2 linked regions of the Oryzias latipes genome follow. The protein of the gene in region 1 purifies or fractionates together with the protein of each later gene. This does not show direct contact. Links are inferred from orthologs where the notes say so. Each region holds a gene or a part of one and is shown in the gene's direction. Other genes may lie near its edges.

What was found.
Region 2: the proteins of tubgcp2 (region 1) and mzt1 purify together in Homo sapiens (affinity purification with mass spectrometry; 4 studies listed by BioGRID and IntAct, counting the BioPlex papers as one, with this or other methods). This does not show direct contact. The link is inferred for Oryzias latipes from reciprocal best matches to the Homo sapiens genes TUBGCP2 and MZT1.

The regions. Positions count from the first base shown.
Region 1 is NC_019877.2:19,481,815-19,491,175, forward strand, and holds part of tubgcp2 (gamma-tubulin complex component 2), read left to right. Parts: intron 1-297; coding exon 298-474; intron 475-617; coding exon 618-777; intron 778-845; coding exon 846-1,053; intron 1,054-1,482; coding exon 1,483-1,682; intron 1,683-3,734; coding exon 3,735-3,924; intron 3,925-4,003; coding exon 4,004-4,149; intron 4,150-4,224; coding exon 4,225-4,405; intron 4,406-4,554; coding exon 4,555-4,735; intron 4,736-5,913; coding exon 5,914-6,086; intron 6,087-7,143; coding exon 7,144-7,272; intron 7,273-7,351; coding exon 7,352-7,472; intron 7,473-7,549; coding exon 7,550-7,693; intron 7,694-7,971; coding exon 7,972-8,073; intron 8,074-8,152; coding exon 8,153-8,316; intron 8,317-9,361. UniProt on the Homo sapiens protein: Component of the gamma-tubulin ring complex (gTuRC) which mediates microtubule nucleation.
Region 2 is NC_019873.2:18,603,576-18,613,599, reverse strand, and holds mzt1 (mitotic-spindle organizing protein 1), read left to right. Parts: upstream 1-4,405; 5' UTR 4,406-4,706; coding exon 4,707-4,758; intron 4,759-4,863; coding exon 4,864-5,009; intron 5,010-6,493; coding exon 6,494-6,517; 3' UTR 6,518-6,977; downstream 6,978-10,024. Other genes in the region: bora (protein aurora borealis), read right to left, coding at 1,016-1,156, 1,241-1,791, 1,879-2,041, 2,225-2,496, 2,571-2,627, 2,746-2,790, 2,893-2,971, 3,077-3,122 and 2 more. UniProt on the Homo sapiens protein: Required for the recruitment and the assembly of the gamma-tubulin ring complex (gTuRC) at the centrosome.

The DNA.
Region 1 (9,361 bases):
TTTTTTGTGACGTATGTTGGAAGAGGATCAAGCTCCCTGCTCCACAACCTGGAAGGGAAGAGGGGTGGGGTTGCTCTGTGCCAATGGTCCCGCCTACAACTCAGAGGAGATTTTCTAATGAACTACTAAAGCTCTGCAGAAACTATGTACTAGAAAATGATGCAGGTTTCTGGTTTGGGCTAAAAACTGTCTATTCATAATGAAAAGGCCACAGAGAAAACTTTGATAATAGATCAAAAGATGATCAAAGTGGGACTTTAATAAGAACTTTATTTTCTTTTTTTCCCCTCTTTTTAGACTCTTCAGTTTTTGCAACAGAATGCCAAAGAAAGATCAGAGTCGTCAGCAAACACAAATTCAACGACAACTACCAGCTACACTCTCCCTCAGTCCAGCGCCAAGATGTCCATGCAGGAGTTGGATGAGCTGCGGAAGAAGCTTGGCAACGTGACGGCCAGCTCCAACGCCCCACTGGTGAAGAGTTTTCAATTTTCTTACAGCATGCCTGAAATATGTATACATGGAAAAAAAGATTGACTCTCCCATTTTCTTTCAGTCTTTTTAAAATAAGTCTGTATTTTGGTAAATGCTGCTGTTGCTCATCATTGTTTCTGCAGCCCGCTGAAGTCACCAGGAAGATGTTGAGAGACAAACACAACAAGAAGAACCCCACGCAACCAAACCCTGTGTTCCCTAATTGGGTGTATGACCGTCCAGCCCTCATTGGAGACTTCATCACAAGCCCCACTGCAGCTGGAGACCTGACTGTAGCTGTTGGTAAGAGTGCCGTTCTGCTCAGACCTCTGATTCCGGTTTCACTTTTAATCCTTTCATTGTCCGTTCAGGTACGCTGCCTCTGGCGACCCAGGAGCAGGCCCTGGTGGAGGATCTGCTCTTTGTTCTGGTTGGAGTTGATGGGCGGGACATCACAGCTCAGCCCGTCCTGGGGAGGCAGAACCGCTCTTTCATCGTTGATGCGACACTGGACATGTCCGTGAAGGAGCTGGTGAACAGAATCCTTCCTGTTGCATCGTATTACTCCACTATAACTCGGTAAACGCTGGTTTCAGTTCACCTCTTCTCACTGAAAAACAGTCAAATTCTGCTTTCCTGGACAATCCTTTAGATTTGATCTCTGCTTTTTGGGCCACGTTTGAGACAAACTTCTGTTGGAATATTGAATAACAAAAATAAACTCATTTTTGACATACAAACCTTGAAAAGTTAATTTAATAATGGATAAATATTATTCTAACAAGTTTAAAATGTAAAAAGAGATCTAAAACCCAAATAAATTCCAATCAGACCAGAGAAAATTGAAATGATAAATGGCAGAAAACCATACAATCATTTGCTATCTTTAGGACAGTCACTCTTTTATTTTAAAATGATGATTTTAATTCTAGAAAATCTTCTTAATGAAAATTTAGACGTTAATATTTCTGTGAACGTTATTGTCAAATGGTTTTAAACCTTTTGCAGGTTCATCGAAGAGAAGTCCTCCTTTGAGTACGGCCAGGTGAACCACGCTCTGACGGCAGCGATGAGGACCCTGATGAAGGAGTACCTCATCTTGGTCACTCAACTGGAGCACCTGCAGCGGCAGGGCCTGCTGTCCCTGCAGAAGCTTTGGTTCTACATCCAGCCCACCATGAGGACCATGGAGATCTTGGCGTCCATTGGTGAGAGGCTGACTGGGAATGTCCAGACTTTAAAGTCCCACTTCTGTCATCTTTTGATCTATTTTAATGAAAGTGTTCCCGGAGGTCCTTTACTACGATTATATAGTTTTTAGCCAAAATCCAAAAGTCTGTGTCGTTTTTTAAGACATTAAATAAAGAAAATTAAGATAAAACATCGTTAGAGTATTTCTCTATTGTGTTGACTCAGGAGCAGACGAAAAAATGCTGTTTAAAAAAGCTTGTAGTTGTGACGTACAAACTACAGTCGACAGGTCACAAGCTCCCTGCTCTGCTCCATTCCGATGCATCCACTTACAGACAAACAGATTCATGAACGTCTTCGTTTTCCTCGTCAGAGCTGGAATCTGGATCTAAATTGTACGGCTGGATAGCTCTGACATTGCTCGCCATTTTTGTTTGCATCTGTGATTGCTCGGGTTCTGAGGGGCTGTAAGGTAGCACGAGAGAGTGTGGACAGAGGACTAATGGAAAATGAATGCAAGCTTACTGCGCACCACTGGTCTTCCCAACTCAGAGGAGAGTTTCTGATGAACTCCTGCCGCTCTGCAGAAACTAGAAAAACAACACCTATTTTTTTTTATTTTGGCCAAAAGCAGCATAAATATAGTGAACACTTTGAAAATAGATCAAAAGATGATCGAAGTGCAATCCAATTTTCTTTAATTTACTTAACAGGGGAATTTTCTTTTTTCTCATGCTGTGGAAGTTTTAATCTTTTTACAAGGATTCTTATAATTAGTAAAAGATGCAGTTGCATTTTTTACCATTTCATTGTCTTGCATTTACTTTTTTTTAAGTAAGTTTCAGCCTTTAAGCCACAGTCTTTTTAAATTAAATTAAATTAAATTAAATTTTTAAATCAGAAAATCGTGGCACTAAAATAGGTTTTAATTTATTGCAGGTATGTTACCTCAGTGAGCACTTTGCAAGCTGTAGCGAACTTTACTTAAACCTTAATGATTTAGCTGCTGTTTACATTTACAAAGGATATTTGTGGACTTGAAAAGTCACAATCCTGTTTGATTTGTGCTCAGTGTACCAGTTTTTTTCTAATACTTTTAGCCAACCATGCAATAAAAAAATACCTATTTAGTGACCGTGAAAGTACGGGCGTGCTTTACTTTCAAATAAAGTTTGTACTCATTCAGATGTGTGCAAATGTTGTAAAAGTCCTTAATAGTTGCCCTTTGTGTAAGTGTAATCTACACTGACAGCCGATCCCTCAACACTGTTGTATCTTTAGTTAAGTTTGAGGTTCTTCTTGCAGAAGCAGCTTCTCATTTGAACCACCAGGGGGAGCTTTGAGTCAGTTTTCTTCCAAATTTTATTTAGGAAAATTGAGAAAGTTATAAAACCGTACATTTAAATTCACTTAGGTCCAATTTTGGACCCATGACTTATATCTCCATTCTCAACATTTCTTTTCTTTTTTCCATAACATAACTTGGTGTCTAACAAAACACAAAACAGGGAACAGCGGATGCATTATGAGGGAAAGAAGTAAACAAAAAACACACTAAAACATTCAACTTGATTATAATTACAAGCCAGACATTCATTACTTCCATTTGTTGTAAGTGATTAACATAGAATATCCATTGTGGGCATCTGTTTCCGAAGTGAATAGGTTAGTCTTTCTATCTGGCAGATTTCATTTACAATGTCTATCCAATTGTCCAAGCTGGGTACAGTGGGGAGGAGCCAGTGTCTAGTCACTGCTTTTTATTACCAGTGGGTATTAATATTCTGAATAAAATTTTCATTGGTAGGTGGGAGTTGTGTCTTACAGACTGATAAAATCACAGGGTATTGTCTTATTTGATATATATTCAATATGTTTATGTATTTCCTTCCAAAAAATTTTTATAATGGGACAATCCCAAAATATGTGGTAATGGTCGGCTTCTACTTCTCCCCACTGTTTGAGTCAATTTTCACAACCTCTGTGGTCTCTGGATTTTCTGAATTATAGATAAAGCAGGACAGAAAACAGGAATACAGACGGGTTTATTGAAATCTGCTGTTTTCCAGCCTCCTCTGTGGACAAAGGAGAGTGCATGGGCGGAGCAACGCTTAGCCTTCTGCATGACCGGACCTTCAACTACACAGGTGACAGCCAGGCGCAGGAGCTGTGCCTCTACCTCACTAAAGCCGCCAGCGTGCCGTACTTTGAAATTTTGGAGAAGTGGATTTACAGAGGCATCATCAAGGATCCGTACAGGTCTGCATTCAGAGGGGAGACAAAAAATCCTGATAAGGGGTTTCCTGGCGCTCACAGATTCTCCTGTTCTCCACTTCAGTGAGTTCATGGTGGAGGAGCATGAGCTGCAAAAGGAGAAGATCCAGGAGGATTATAATGACAAGTACTGGGACCAGAGGTACACCATTGTACAGCATCGAATCCCCTCCTTTCTCCAGAAAATGGCAGACAAAATTCTGAGCACAGGTACAGGGACACAGACCCAAACAGGAAGAGAGACGTGACTTTCTACGCATAAGACTTATAGATGACACTTTACAGGGAAATACCTGAACGTGGTGCGAGAGTGCGGCCGAGATGTGACCTGTCCTGACGCTAAGGAGGTTCTGTACACCCTGAAGGAGCGGGCCTATGTGGAGCAGATTGAGAAGGCCTACAACTACGCCAGCAAGGTCCTCCTGGACTTCCTCATGGAAGAGAAGGAGCTGGTTTCTCGTCTGAGGTAAACCGTTTTCTTTGTCCAGAATAGCTTTTTTCTTTTTCTTTTGTCTATTAAGTCTAGATTTCCATGAAAGGTTAGCATCTTTACTGCTCACAATAATGACATATTAACAGTTATTACATTAACAATTGTAATTTTGTTTTTGCCAGATCCATCAAGCACTACTTCCTGATGGACAAAGGAGATTTCTTTGTGCACTTCATGGATCTGACAGAAGAGGAGCTGAAGAAGCCGGTGGACGACATCGTCCCCCCCAGACTTGAAGCTCTGCTGGAGCTGGCTCTGAGGATGAGCACCGCCAACACGGACCCCTTTAAAGACGACCTCAAGGTGGGGCCAACAAATTTCAAACAGAGATCCACCGATGTGGGGTTTTTTTTCAGGACCGATGCAGATTATTACCGGTAGTCAAGAAGGCTGATAATCAATATTTAGAGCCAATATTCATTTACTGTAAAAAGAAACTTATTAATGGCATAATCCTCGCTGAAGATGAAGGAATGATGAGGATGGTGTGCAAAGAAACTTTCTTGCATGTTTGCATGTTGCCTCTGAGCAGAGGAGGGAGGGGCTGGGGTTATACCTGCGCATGGAGCAGCTGAGGTGCTTGCGCTGTTTCTTTTTTTCCTCTTACTACAGGCTGGACAAACGTTTTCTAACGCACCATTAACATCGTTGAAAGACATTTGCATTGGCGCCTTAACTCATTAAAGGTGACGGCCCTAGTTGCTAGTAGTGTGGCACAGGGCTGTGGCCGGATACTGCTGAAGACCGCTCAGTGCTGCTGCATCAGAGCCAAAATAACCAGTTCAAAAACGGTCCGTTGGATTAAAAAAGAAAAGGCTGATGCAGACATGCATCAAAATAACAAATATCAGTGCCGATAACTGGCCTGGCCAATAATCTTGAGTCCAAGGTTTCTCTTAATCATTGACGTCCACTGGGCTCCACATCCATCATGTTTTCTGTTACTCTGCTTCAACAGATGAGCTCTAGTGAAGTCATAAGTGAGCCGTCCCAGACCCTTTTGATCAGGCTTTTTCTAGGGCTTTCATTGAGGGGCGGGGCTCTGTGCTGGAGGGGCAGACCTCTGTCCAAACTGAAGGCAGCTGCTTTGTCTGGGTGTTACTGAGAGGCTTTTATTTTGCAGGGTTTTAATCCTAAACATTTCCAGTGTTTAAAATGATTTTAAACAAAAGCAACTGAATAATGGAAACTAATGTGTTATCTTCTGACTCAATAGCACCTTTAGAGCTATTTAAAAGAAAAATTCAACCAAACCAAGCTGTGGGATTTTCCTGACAAACACACAAGGTCACATTTTCTCTGTGGACACTTTTTCCTGCAGGAAATTTTGGGTTTTAACAACAGAAAAATGCACATTAGGTCTGTTTACCAATTTAGTATTAAAGGTAGCCATCAAAATAACTGATAACGCATCTCAATGCCCCTCTTACTTTATTCAGATTTGTATTTTATTCCTCAAAACGCTGCTGTTCTTTCTCCAGATTGACCTGATGCCTCACGATGTGATCACTCAGCTGCTGCGAGTGCTGGCCATCGAGACCAAACAGGAGAAGGCCATCATCAACGCTGAGCAGGCGGACGCGGCTCTCAGCGGCCTGGAGGCCTTCTCCTTCGACTACATTGTTAAGTGGCCGCTCTCGCTCATCATCAACAGGTCGGTCGGAAATCTTTACAACTGAGCAGTCCAGCTCAATGTTTGTTCTTTCTTGTGTACCTTGACCATAAATAGAAAATGGGATATGAACCAGTGGTCTCCAGCCGCAAACCGGTACCGGTACACTTGGTACTGAGCCGCAGAGAGAGAGGAAAATAAAAAAGAGGCCTATATTTTTACTATTTTATTTCTAATCTGATTCTTAAGGAAATTTTATTTAGGAAAACTACTGGATTCTCTCAAACACATCCAGCACATTCTTGACGCATGTCAAGCCCTGCAGTCACGTATTGAAAATCCATCTACCATTTTCTTAAAGCAGCTGTGCCAACCGCTAAACTGAAATCCCCAAGCTAGCAAAGTTAAGAAAAAACAAACGTTTCTTTTGGCAGAAAATAATCTTCTGTGAAGAAACAGAAGAAGTGCCTTTGACTTAAAAAAAAAAATGCAATCTGCATTTAACAGACAAAAACCAGGAGTCTGTACTGCAAATATGGATTTATTGTGACAGTTGTTCCCACATACCATAATTATAATGCATAATAGTTATCAACCAGCTGTCTAAAGTAAAGTTTAAAGCAGATGCAGATGTTTTACAGGGGATGAAGATAAACTTTACCCTTAAAAATTAAGAGAAGGAAAAATAAAATCTGATGCCCACTTTAGCCTCATTTGCGGTCAGTGAAAATATTGTCTGACATTAAACCGGTCCATGGTTTGAAAAAAGGCAGCGACCACGGGTAAAAAAATGTAAAAGCAAAAGATGGTAACACTGACATCTAGTGTTTAGAAGAGGTAGTGCAACAAAGATTCATAACAGGAAGGTTTTTTTTTAAGCTATTTTATTTTTACAAGCCTGTAAAGCAGTTAAAGGCCAGTAGAGCCTCAAATAAGCTGGATTTAGGTGATTTTAATTCACCGATGCTTTGGGGTGTTTCGACACACACAGTTGTTGCTCAGCTGTATTAGAAATTTAAAGCTCTATGGCACACGAATGAATGATGTTTCAATAAATGATGACATTTTGTGCTAATAACAGCTCGTGTTTGTTGTTCAGAAAAGCGCTAACAAGATACCAGATGTTATTCAGACACATGTTCTTCTGCAAACATGTGGAGCGGCTGCTGTGCAACGTGTGGATCAGCAACAAAGACTTCAAGCTGTACTCCTTGCACTGTGCCAAATGGTGAGCTGACATCATTTCATGGACGCTTTGGTTAAATATCAGTCAGAAAAAGTCCTCAGACTCTGCGATCTGTGTTTAGGTTTGCAGCGGCGTTCGCCCTGCGCCAGCGCATGCTTAACTTTGTGCAGAACATCCAGTACTACATGATGTTTGAGGTGATGGAGCCCACATGGCACATCATGGAGAACAACCTGAAAACAGTGAGTGAAGAAGCCTGCAGGAAGACGTGATGCTTCCAGCTTTTTGGAGCTGAGACGTGTCTGCTCTCCTTCACCAGGCCTCCAACATTGATGATGTGCTGTGCCACCACACCAGTTTCCTGGACAACTGCCTGAAGGACTGCATGTTGACCAACCCGGAGCTTCTAAGGATCTTCTCCAAACTCATGACCGTCTGTGTCATGTTCACAAACAGCATGCAGGTTTGTTGTAGAGGAAAAAAACAAGATTGCACTGCTTCTTCTTCTTTTAACGCTGCATCCTGATTTATGTAGTTTTAATGTCTATGTTAACTTTAAGGAAGATTTAGATGTAAAATGAAAGATTTTACATGACTATTAAAGTTTGATGTATATGTTGACATGCTTTTATGCAGACAATGGTTCCATGGTTGAAGTGTTTCAGATAAAACCGTTTTATATAAGCCTTTTTTTAAATAGTTAACCTATTAAGTTGAAAAATGATGAATGTGTCACTGCAGCGGTTCACACAGACCATGAGGTTGGAGCGTCTGTCTCGAGAGCAGGGGACGATGGACGAAGCTCCAAGTCAGAGTGAAGCCGAGAAGAAGCTCAGCACAAAGGTCTTTGAAATCTCTGAAGGGTTTTCTGCTCAGGTCACATTTTATTGACAATTTTTTTTTCTTCTCTCATTTGTGTCAGTTTTCAGCCGAGCAGGTGGACGCTCTGCAGTCGGACGCCAGTTTTGAAGCCACCATCAGCAAGTTTGACAGTAACTTCAGTATGCTGCTGTTGGACCTGCTGGACAAACTCAGCATCTACAGCACCAATGACTGTGAGCACAGCATGATCAGCATCATCTACAGGTGAGACGCCGGCCCACAGCTCCGGGTTTGTTTGTTTGTCCGTTTGTTTGTTTGTTTGTTGTGTAGTGGGGGAATTTCCCATGAAGCTCTGAGTGTTTTTGCATGGAGGTTTTTGTCACCCATAATCCAAATCGGATTGTATTCTCAATTTGCATTTTGAAAATACATTATGTAATTTAGAATTTAAAAAGAAAATGTATTCAATTCAGTCTTCCTTTTTTTAAATTCAAGTTTAAATAAAGAAAAATCCATTGGGTTTGAGATTTTCCTGGCTTTTTGGTACCAACATTTAAAAAATGAAAATGCATTTTTATAACTGTCAGTTCAATATGCAAGTTGGTCATGCGTTTTGAAAAAATACATTATGCTGCAGTTTTTGGAAATAGCATATAAAGCAAAAAAAAAAGCATTTTCAGTCTGTACATAAGCAATCATTCTTAAAAAAACAAAATAAAACAAAATAAAGTTTCAAATAAGACCAAGCTTTATTTCTTTTAAATAGAATAGAATAGAATAGAATAGAATAGAATAGAATAGAATAGAATAGAATAGAATAGAATGGCTTTATTGTCATTGTGCATAGTACAATGAGATTTAAGCTTCACCATCAGTGCAAGAACAGTAAGGGAGGGAAAGGTAGTAAATAAAACATTGTAATATAATAAAATCAAAAAAGCGAACAAACAGTATATACAAGTGTGCAATATAAGCTGTAAACTGTATTGAAGAGTGCCGAGATAATTGTGCAAAAATTGCGTATGAAAAAAAAAAAAAAACTGTGCGTAGACATGTCAAAAGTGCAGAGGTGGCAATGAGGTAGATAGTTGGAGTAAACAGGAATGTTTTTTTTTCATCTGTGCATTTGGGAATTGAGGATGGTTATTGCCTTTGGAAAGAAGCTGTTTTTTAGTCTGTTCGTTTTGCTTCTGATTCCTCTGTAGCGCCTCCCAGAGGGCATCAGGTTGAACAGGTCTGAGCCGGGGTGTGAACTGTCCTTAATGATGTTTTGAGCCCTAGTGAGACAGCGCGCGGAGTAGATGTCCGT
Region 2 (10,024 bases), on another chromosome or scaffold:
AGTAATTTCTATTAAACAGTAACATTAAATACAATTGCATTTACTTCACAGTGTGTTCTCACTGTGATTCAAATAATGGTGAGATGAAGCCAATTCATTTTTAGGGGGTGCTAAAAGTCCACTTCATGCTTTCTGGTAAGCCTCCCCAGCTAAAGACCCACTCCAAATCGTATTTTGGTGTTTTTAACATGTTCTTGTGGCATTTTTCTGATGATAGAGGACATGTATAAAGAAAATTAAGCTTAAAATTGCATTTTTTAGTATTTATTTAAATTGGTGTGAAGCAGATGGTTTGTTTTATGATTTATTTATTACATAGGAAATATGCTGGGAGGGGCTACAAGCTTCCTGCTCTGCTCCATTCTGATGCATCACTTGCAGACAAATAGATCTAAGCTGGCATCTAGCTTAAAACTGTACGGCTGGATTGCTCCAATATTTCTCACCACTTGGGGTGTGAGGGGGCTGTAACCTCGTAGGAGAACGTGTAAAAGGGGGGTGGGGTTGCTCCGCCCGAAACTCAGAGGCAAATCACTGATGAACTATTGCCGCTGTGCAGAATCTATGTCTTAGAAAACTACACAGGTTTTTATTGTTTTGCCTAAAAACTGCATAATCATAAATAAAAAAAACAAAAAAAAAACACTGGGAATGCTTTTAGAAAAAAAAATCAAAGGATGGTTGGAGAGGGTCTTTATTTATAAATATCTTCATTTTGTTATGTTTTCATATTAACAAAATGTGTTATAAAAAAATCCTACTATAACATCAGAGGTGATTGGTCCAGACGTTTCTTTAGATCAAACAGTAATTCAACTAAGGTATGATAAAGTTTCCAGTTTATGAAAAATATACATTTGTATTAGTACCATTGCGTCACACTAGCTGTAAAAATCAAATAATAAAATGTTGTTCAAGTAGCTCAAGTCATCGACTGATCTTGGGATCCCACTGCTACCAATTTTTTTTTTTAATAGCTTAGGCGAAAAAAAAACAGTCTTATACACGACCTTACCTTAACTTTTGTGTGTCGAATAATAGGGATAGCTTCTTCCACCATGTTAGAGTTCAGGGACTCTTTGCTCTGAAGGTCAGAGCCTAGGCCGTCAATGAGGCTAGCAGTGCCTGCTGAGGTAGTGTTATAGCCGCTATCCACCTGAACAAAAGAAGGGGAAACATTCACTTAGACCTTCATTAAACAATTACAGTTTGTGTTGGAGCAAATGTTTGTTTAAAAAACCTGCATGCTGGAGTCATAGCGGATGCTGCTTCCTTCTGCCAAAAGTGACAGAAACATCTGAGAGCTTTCTGTCCCAGACACATTGCCCATGCGAGAGCTGGTCAGCTGTCCCGAGGGTCGCTCATCTTCTTCCTCCTCCTCCTCTTCCTTGCCCATTTCCTTATCCTCTTCCATTTTTGTATGTTCCACAGTATCCACATAAACTCTGTCACTTTTAGTTGGGTGAAGGTCCTGACACTGAGGGAAGGATGGATCAAAATCCATAGAGGGAAGAAAAGATGGAGAGTCTGAATGTTGGTGTTCTTCTGGCTCTTGACTGTCTTGCAGCTTTGGGTTGAGAATTGGAGAAATGAGTGGAGGGGAAGCCCAGACACGGACTCTAGGTTTGGTTCTGGAGACGCGCGGAGGCTCCTTGTGATGTTGGAGCTGGTGTGGGGAGCAGCTACGAATTGGAGAGCAACCTTCAACAAAGGGACTCTCGTTGCAGGAGCTGACATCTACATCCAGGGGAATAGACAGTGGGGTCACGTTGCATCGCTGTTTTCTTTCAACTAACACGAGAACAGGCACAGATTAAGGATAAAAAGCCAAATATAATCCAGCAATATTTACATTTTTAAAACAGTGAAATGCTCTACCTGAGCCTACAGGAGTGTGTGCAAAATCAGCAAGAATTGGAGAGATTGTTGGGGAACCATGGCCAGCAGGAGATGATCTATCAGGAAACAGAGGGCTGCCAATACTGCCAAGGCTACAGTCCCTGATGCAGCCATGTTGGATAGGACTAGAGGAGAACTGGCCCTTCGTTTAAGAGAAGTAAAGCTAATTTTAGTCATGCATGTCTTCATCTATTTTTATGCAAACATTTAAAGGGGCAAAAGATACTCATTTTTTACAGCTTTACATGATTTCTATCCTATGACCCATTTAAAAAAAAAATACCTGGCAACCCAATTCTCTATTTTTTGACACACTGAAACTTACAGTAGAAGGAGTCGGGGCAGAGATCCCGCATGACAAAGGAGAAGAAAAAACTGGATTTTCTCCCTCAGAGCACATGGGTCTCGGTCCGCTTCCTTGTCTTTTGGTAGGAAGCCTCTCAGCTCGGACATGAGCTCTTTCTGGACTCGGTGGAGTGGAGCTGTCAGAGCTGCTGTAGCTAAACTGTCCATCGAGAAAGAGTTTTCTCCTCAAGGAGGAGGAACTGAGGCTCTCCTGCACTGCATCACAAGCCTCATCGTTACGGTAATATTCTCCTAAGAATAAGAAAGAAATGTGACTTAAAACTTTCATTTCAATGATTCTCCTCTTACATTTAACAGAAGCTTACCAAGTAGTTTTTCCAAATCAAATGTTGAAGGCAGCGAAAGGACCGTCTGGCAACCAACTGTAAGATAAAAAGATGCAGTTTATGGAAAACTAAAGCAAATGAACAAATTTAACAAATTCTAATAATTTTAGATCCCTTCTTTTTTTCTTTTTTTTTAATACGAACATGCACCAACCTGAGATTTTTTCTGTCTGTTCTGCAGCTGTTTCAGACAAGGGACCTAAAACAACAAGACAAAACAACAAATGGTTAAATACACATTAATATTACTAAAAACAAGGAATACTTGAAAGTTATTATTCCAAACAGTTGGATATCTTACTTTTCTTATAAATATGAGGGGCTCTGCGAGTTTCTGCTGCTGCCCAAGGAGAAGGCACTATGGCTCCTTTGGTAAAAAACTTTATTCAGCAAGACAAAAGACATGAGTAAATCAGTAAATTGTCAACAAGACTTCTACTGAATTATTGCAATTTTAAAAAAAGATTGCTTTTAAAGTCCAAAACCTGCTCAATAGCACTCTGAAATTTTTCTTCAACATCAGAATCGGTCCTGAAATATAATAAGAAAATAATTTAGGTATTTAGATCTGCACAATAAATCACAGAGCTATCGCCATCTTGTTATCAGCCTGTGCAGTATGCGTATCGCAGAAGACAGTGCAATAAATCATACCATAAATGTTTACACACATGCCTAAACAATCTTATGGCAGCTTGAAGTGTTTCAAATTCAAAATAGCCTGTTAAGCTTTTGACTAATTGGATGGAGCCCTTTTATGTTAGATGCTTCCCTCCTATCAGGTAAAAGATCATTTGGAGTATAAATCAAGTTATACTGACTTTTATTTTGATAAAACTGTTGCAGTGAAATGAAAAAGATGTATTAGTTGTTTCATGTTTTACTTTGGGTTCATGTATCGTAAGTCACATCGTCATCGCAATATTGATCACCAATATCGCGAGTTTTCCTGATATCGTGCAGCCTTAGTTTAATTACAGTTTGTAATTTGCCAAATATTTAAGACTGGAATGCAATCAAAGATTTGCCACTGTTAACAAAATAAGGGATTCAGGACACACCTTGTCTGGCTGAGGTAAAAAGACTGTCGCTGGATTTCTTCTGGGTCTATGTGCACTGGGAGAAGGCTGGCCATTTCATCAATAGACCAGTTAAATCTTGGAGGGGTCTACAGAAAAGACAAGATATGAGACAAAACTACACAGCAGCCTTAAGACACATTTCTCGAAGTAAAAATTGCAAAACACACTTGCAAAAACCGGTTTCAGCTTGACTGTGTAAATAATATTCAATTTTAGTATAAGTTGTGGGTAAGAAATTAAACTTACAGCTTTACAGGACTTGGATTTAAAAACAGATGGGCTTGGAACCAAGGGTTCCCGGAGATGGTGGTAATCATTTGGACTCTCAAAGGGGTTTCTTATGGAAGGCCTGCCCGGAGTCTCTGGAGTTATCTCTAGCTCGATACGGTCCCCCATCCTGGCTGAAAATTCAAATTCAAGTTATAAAGAAAATGTATTACAAAGTACACTTAAAAACATTTTAAGTGTAAACCAACATGTATTTTTTTTACTCGATCCGTTAGCTAGCTGTGATGTTAGCTTGCAAGGAAAACAACAGTTTTAAAATCAGTTCAAAAACAACATAACACCCATAATTTAATCCTTACCGACACTGACTATGTAATTGTTTTCCGCCCCTGGTACTTACATGTTTTATCTGACTTGGACTGTAAAGCGACTAAATCAAGAGAAAGTCTTCCCCTGTCGACTCCACAGTGGTATTAGGAAGAGAACAATTCAAACGTTTATTTCAATTTCGTCCACGGAGCCAGCCAACCAATAGAATCGTTACAGAAAGTTGTTGAGGACCAATAGCGACATCTGTGTCGTCATTTCCGCTGCTAGTTTGCGGACGGTGCATCAACTTTGATGCAAGCTAAATGCTAATGCGGCATTTTATCGTATGTCAGAATCCGAGTAAAGCAAATATGAGATATTTTAAACGCGGCCGTGTTGTTTAATTGAATTGTTTTCATCAACGTTTTATCAGGGTAACATATAAGCTGTTGTGTATCTGCTAGCAAGTTCTAGCTAGCTAACTAGCGTCATCGTAATGGCAAGTGCAGCTAATGCTAACCTGAACGCAGTCCGGGAGACTATGGACGGTAAATATTTTAACTTGTGTGCACATATTAGCATATTTAATAAGAATTTCAAGATTATCATTAAATCATTCTATTAATTTTAAACTTTTCGCTTTTCCTGAACAGTTCTGCTAGAGATTTCAAGACTGCTAAACACTGGTTTGGATATGGAGTCCTTGTCCATTTGTGTGAGGCTGTGTGAGCAAGGCATCAACCCTGAAGCTCTGTCTGCTGTCATCAAGGAGCTCCGAAAAGCTTCAGAGTCTCTGAAGGTAGAAGAGAAACTACCACATCTCATTACAGACCAAAACTTATGTCCGTGTTTTTTTCTTCTTTTAGTGTTATCGCGAGTTCTATAACCATTTGGAAACCATTTGTTAAGCTTGAGTGTCATTGTTTTTTTATTTTTACATTAAAGTCTGTAATGATAAACATCATATCAGTGTAAATAGTAGTGATGGGTTGATGATGCTTTAATGAGTTTGACACATCTCCCAAACTGTTGACTCTGACATAGTGTTGCTCCCTCTCTAGTGACCCCTGCAGTAATTCTGAAATCATTGCAGGTAAATAAAATAAGAACGGCATTTTTGGTGTTTTTAACATGTTCTTGTAGCACTTTTTTATGATTGATTACATATAATAGAAAATTAACATTAAAACAGCATTTTTGATTATTTCTTAATTAAGAAACCGGAGAAGTCAAATAATGCAGTTTGAAAAACTTGCAGTTGTGACATAGAAACAACAGCCATTAGGCCAAACTCCCTGCTCTGCTCTAGTCTGATGCCTCCACTGGCAGATGAATAAATTTATGTACATTTTTGTTTTCCTCGTCTGAGCTGGAATCTGGATCAAAGCTGTTCAGGTGGATGGCTCAAATATTGTTCACTATATTTGTTGCACCGCTAGTGTGAGCTTGGGGTTGTCAGGGACTCAGTTAGCGGGAGAGTGTAAACAAGGTGTCGCTCGTCCCATCATTAGAAAATAGAGCTGTGGTATTAAAGTATTTCAGTATTTTGACTTTTATTTAACACAAGTTGTTTGATTGATGCCCACATACTAGTGAATCCTTAAACTTGATTTTTTTTTCTCTTTAGAATATTTTCTACTATTTAAATTTATTAAATATTTTATCATCCTTGCCACATCAACCCAACGATACTCTAAGCTTTAAAGTGTAAACTCAAATATTTTAATTTATAATATCTTGCTTTTTTTATGTAAAAATGGCTAAACCTGCAACTAAATCTATGAATGAGAAAAGCCGAGGACTGAAAAACATTTGGCGCATACAGATGAATTAATTCTGTTACTAAACGTCCTGAAAACAGATCCTTATGGTTTGTAAATAGAAATATAGACATGAGTTTATTTTTTAAAGAAAATGTAATTAATTAAATTTTCTCTGAGCTTCAGAAAAGCTCAAATATACTTAACATAAGTCCAGCATTCAATTTGCACTTTTACAGAACTGGCTTTGTCTGGTTTTGCAAAGTGCTTTACAGCTTCTTTCCCATTCACATACACACTTGCTGCAAAACCCAATGATCCACATGCCGAAATGAAAGCTGTTAGACTTTTCATCTGGAGTACCTCGTGCGTAAACGTCAAGCCCAACAAGACACCGACATCTAGAGGGACTGGGATCAAACTGTTTTCTGTGTGATTAATAGACTGCCTTGTGTCCCACCTGAGCCACAGCCACACCATTTCAAACAATAAATCATGATGGTTTATTACTTTTTATTTTCAGGTTTCTGAGAATTGCACAACCTGAAGATGGAATCGGAGCCCATCTGTGCAGGACTTTAATAAGATCATCCCCTGTTCCTGGATCTTTACCAGCTTTCCCGCCTCAATCCCAATCATTTTGACAGTGACTCAAATGTTTTCTACTTTTTTCATTTGTTTGTTGTTGTTTAAAAGAAAATGACTTACATTTGTTGTTTTTCAAACACACAAGACACAGATCTGAGCAGCACTGTCAAGTTTAAGCCTTCTTTTGTTTTGTTTTTTCTCTAAGCAGCATGGATGTTGGGTTTGACTGTCAGAATGTTTTATATCAGAAACATGTTGGACATTATATGTTAAAATCTTTATTGATTTTTTTTTTCAATGTATATTATTGCACTATCATTTTTTTTCTTGGTCATTTATTGGCACAAATCTATTTCTGAAGGTCCTGTAAGTTTTCAATGGAATTGTGGGAAATAAAATGTTACCATCAGTGACCACAAGGGGGAGTTCTAGTCTTTGTTCTCAGTATTTATTTAATTGTTGGGATTTTAAAACAAATACCACTTTATATTATTTCTGATTAAAAAAAACTGTAATATACATTTAAAAAAATAATATTTGGCTTTAGTTTCTTTTTTGTACGTGTCATGGTCTAATTTTGGGTCAGCAGTATAACATAATAACCTTATTTGGTTGGATTTTACAACGGAAACAATCTTTCCTGTCAGACCAGGTGAAAGGGAGAACAGACTTGAAGAACAATGCATAAATACAGAAACAATGGAGGAGTGGCTGCCTCTCCAGCCAACAACATACTTCACAACAAAAAAGACACAAGCAAGGGTCATTCTTTACTGCAGGATATCCTGTAAATCCTTGCTCCTTTATGCCTGCACTTCATCCACCTAAAGGATCTAAGATATACTGCAAACTTGACAAAATAAAACAACTTTGATCTAGCTGTAATAGAGACCCTAGATCACATGTCTAACCAAACACCATTGTTTTGTTTCTCTGCTGTCTTTAGAGTAACTATTCATCTTCCATACAAGGGAAAATGCTGAGATCACAGAACATTTCTCCACAGGCCAATGTATGACCAACCCCTCATCCATACAGGCTCAGTTCAGTAATGCGTGTGTGGCTTTCCCTGTTAGAGACGTGTTTGTACAGTGTTGCAGATGTCTACAAATGAGTAACCCTTAAGCCATCTGACAGTTAAGCCCGACTCCTTCCTCACAGGCAGAGCCAGCATGTGCAGGACTGTGTGTGTAAGCATTTCTGTTTTCTGCTTTGTCTCGCCATCTTGACTGGCGGCCTGCGAGTCTAAATCTCCCCATCGCTGCTTTGATCTCTTAAAACAGTATCTCTCTCCCTCTTCTTCGATACCAGCACCGTGTCAGGCGTGCAGGACAGACGTGGTGCAGTCCTTCTTCTTGACAGTTCACAAACTTAAGCAACCTCAGGTCTCAGTGGGGGGCGAGCGGAGAGGTGTTGATGGAGAAAGAGCCACAACAAAATTTCTTTTTCTTTTGGAGTTATTCAGGGCTTGATTGGCTATTATGGGCGTGGGATTCAGGATGCATTGCTGTCTGTTTGATCTGTTTGGAGGGTTTCTCTTTATCCAAGCGAGTTACTTTGATCTCTCTTAAACAAAATATTCCCAAATCCCACAGTCCTTGCAGAGATTAGCGTCCACATATGCATAAACATCTAAGAGGTGTTGAACTAGGGCACTGGACAGATCACATGACTATATCAACCTAACAGGCAAGCAGGTCTTCACATCCAAACTTCTGAAGGTGTTTATATTCGAACGTCTGATAATTATCCGGGCTGAGGTTTATTTCTTTGATAAATGAGGGCAGTCTCATTTAAAAGTGAAAGATCTGAGTGGAGCTGTTGTATTTAAGGTATGTGCCTCGAATATTTTGATAATAATTAGACTGGTCTGCTCAGAGGTTCACCAAGTTTTATGTTTTCTAAACCTAAATTTGGACCTTGTTGTGCCTACTTTTTGGCTTTTGATTGGGATTTTTTTTGTTGATATTTTAAGATTGCTTTTAGGAGATACTTGTGTTCTGACAAAGTGCACTTAAGCAATCAAAAAAATTAATCCATGCATTTGTGAAACTTTGAAATTAGACTTTAAATTTACCAAAAAAAGCTGTTAAAACCTTTAAAATAGTCTTATCTTCACCATTATATACTCAAAATCATTGGCACAGCAGGATTTCAAGTAAAAATTAAAAAAGAAAATCAAAAATTAATAAGAAAAAATGTAAAGTTCCATGATCAGTTACTTACAAGTTTAGTGTTATTGAAGAAATTAAAGATGAAAAAGATAAAAAAATTAATTAGCACAAAAAGAGCATGATTGTGACCTGACAGTGCTGTCACTTTGGCTTGATAACATTCTTTTAGATTCCTAAAACTTGCTTTGTGACATAGCAGCATTTTCAAGTACGTTTTAGAGTGTAAAAATAGCATTAAAACTATGAAATATTTAAAAATTGAAAAGTAGCTGGTAAAGTACTGTATTGTGTTAATCAAAAGTCATAGAAAGCAGCACATTTTAAGTTTGAATTTAGGTTTTATTTAGTAGACCTGGGCTCATTAGGAAGCTGGTTCTTTCTGTGTGCAGCATCTTTGCTGCCTTTGCTTTTGCTTCCTACAGATCCCAGAGTCCCGCTGAGTCTGTGTGCCACAGGGAGATCAGAGATGTGTTTAGGGGGATTAGAATCAATTCTATATTTAACTGGAAGTCTGTGCAGAATATGAGTGGTGGGTTCAGATCTCCAGATTCCATTAAAAACTCTGAATGAGCTGCAGCTGTCTGTTTATAAAGACTAAATGAAAGACTGGTAAGTGAGTCCAACCTGCAGGAAAAGAAGGTGCAAATGAGCTTTGATGGTTAAACGCTGCTTGAGTTGTGGCCTTGATGCGAGACCTGTAGGTGGAGTCAATTGCAACTTTAAAAGAAATTAACTTGACATTTCATTTTTTTTATCCTTTAGAACCGAACTTATCAGAAATGTTTACCCTTTATTCCTTTTTTCAAAGATAACCTTATTGCATTTGTGTGGCTCTCGCTGCTGTGTCTTCCTGATTATGAGATTTAATTTAATTTTAAATTTGAAATTCTCAGTCAAAATGTCTTATTTTTGCTCAGTTTTAACTTAAATTAATGGCTTTCATTTTTTTTTTTTTGACACATCAAGGAGTCTGTAACTTTTTGGGCACCCTTTTTTAACTTTTTTATTGTTATTAACCAGGATAATCCCATTGAGATTAAAATCCTCCTTTGCAAGGGAATCCTGGCCAAGAGGCAGCCACAGTCAGTTTATAACTCACAGATATATTCAAACAGAACAATAAAAATATAATAAACATGATAAAAAAATATGACAACATAACATTTTAAAATTAAAATACTGAAACATAAAACAGTGAATCTTGAAAATAGTGAAATCGGTGATCAAGAGAAACAATTACCATAGATTAAAAAGTTCGTTTATATATATTTCGGATTTAGTTTCAGAGGACA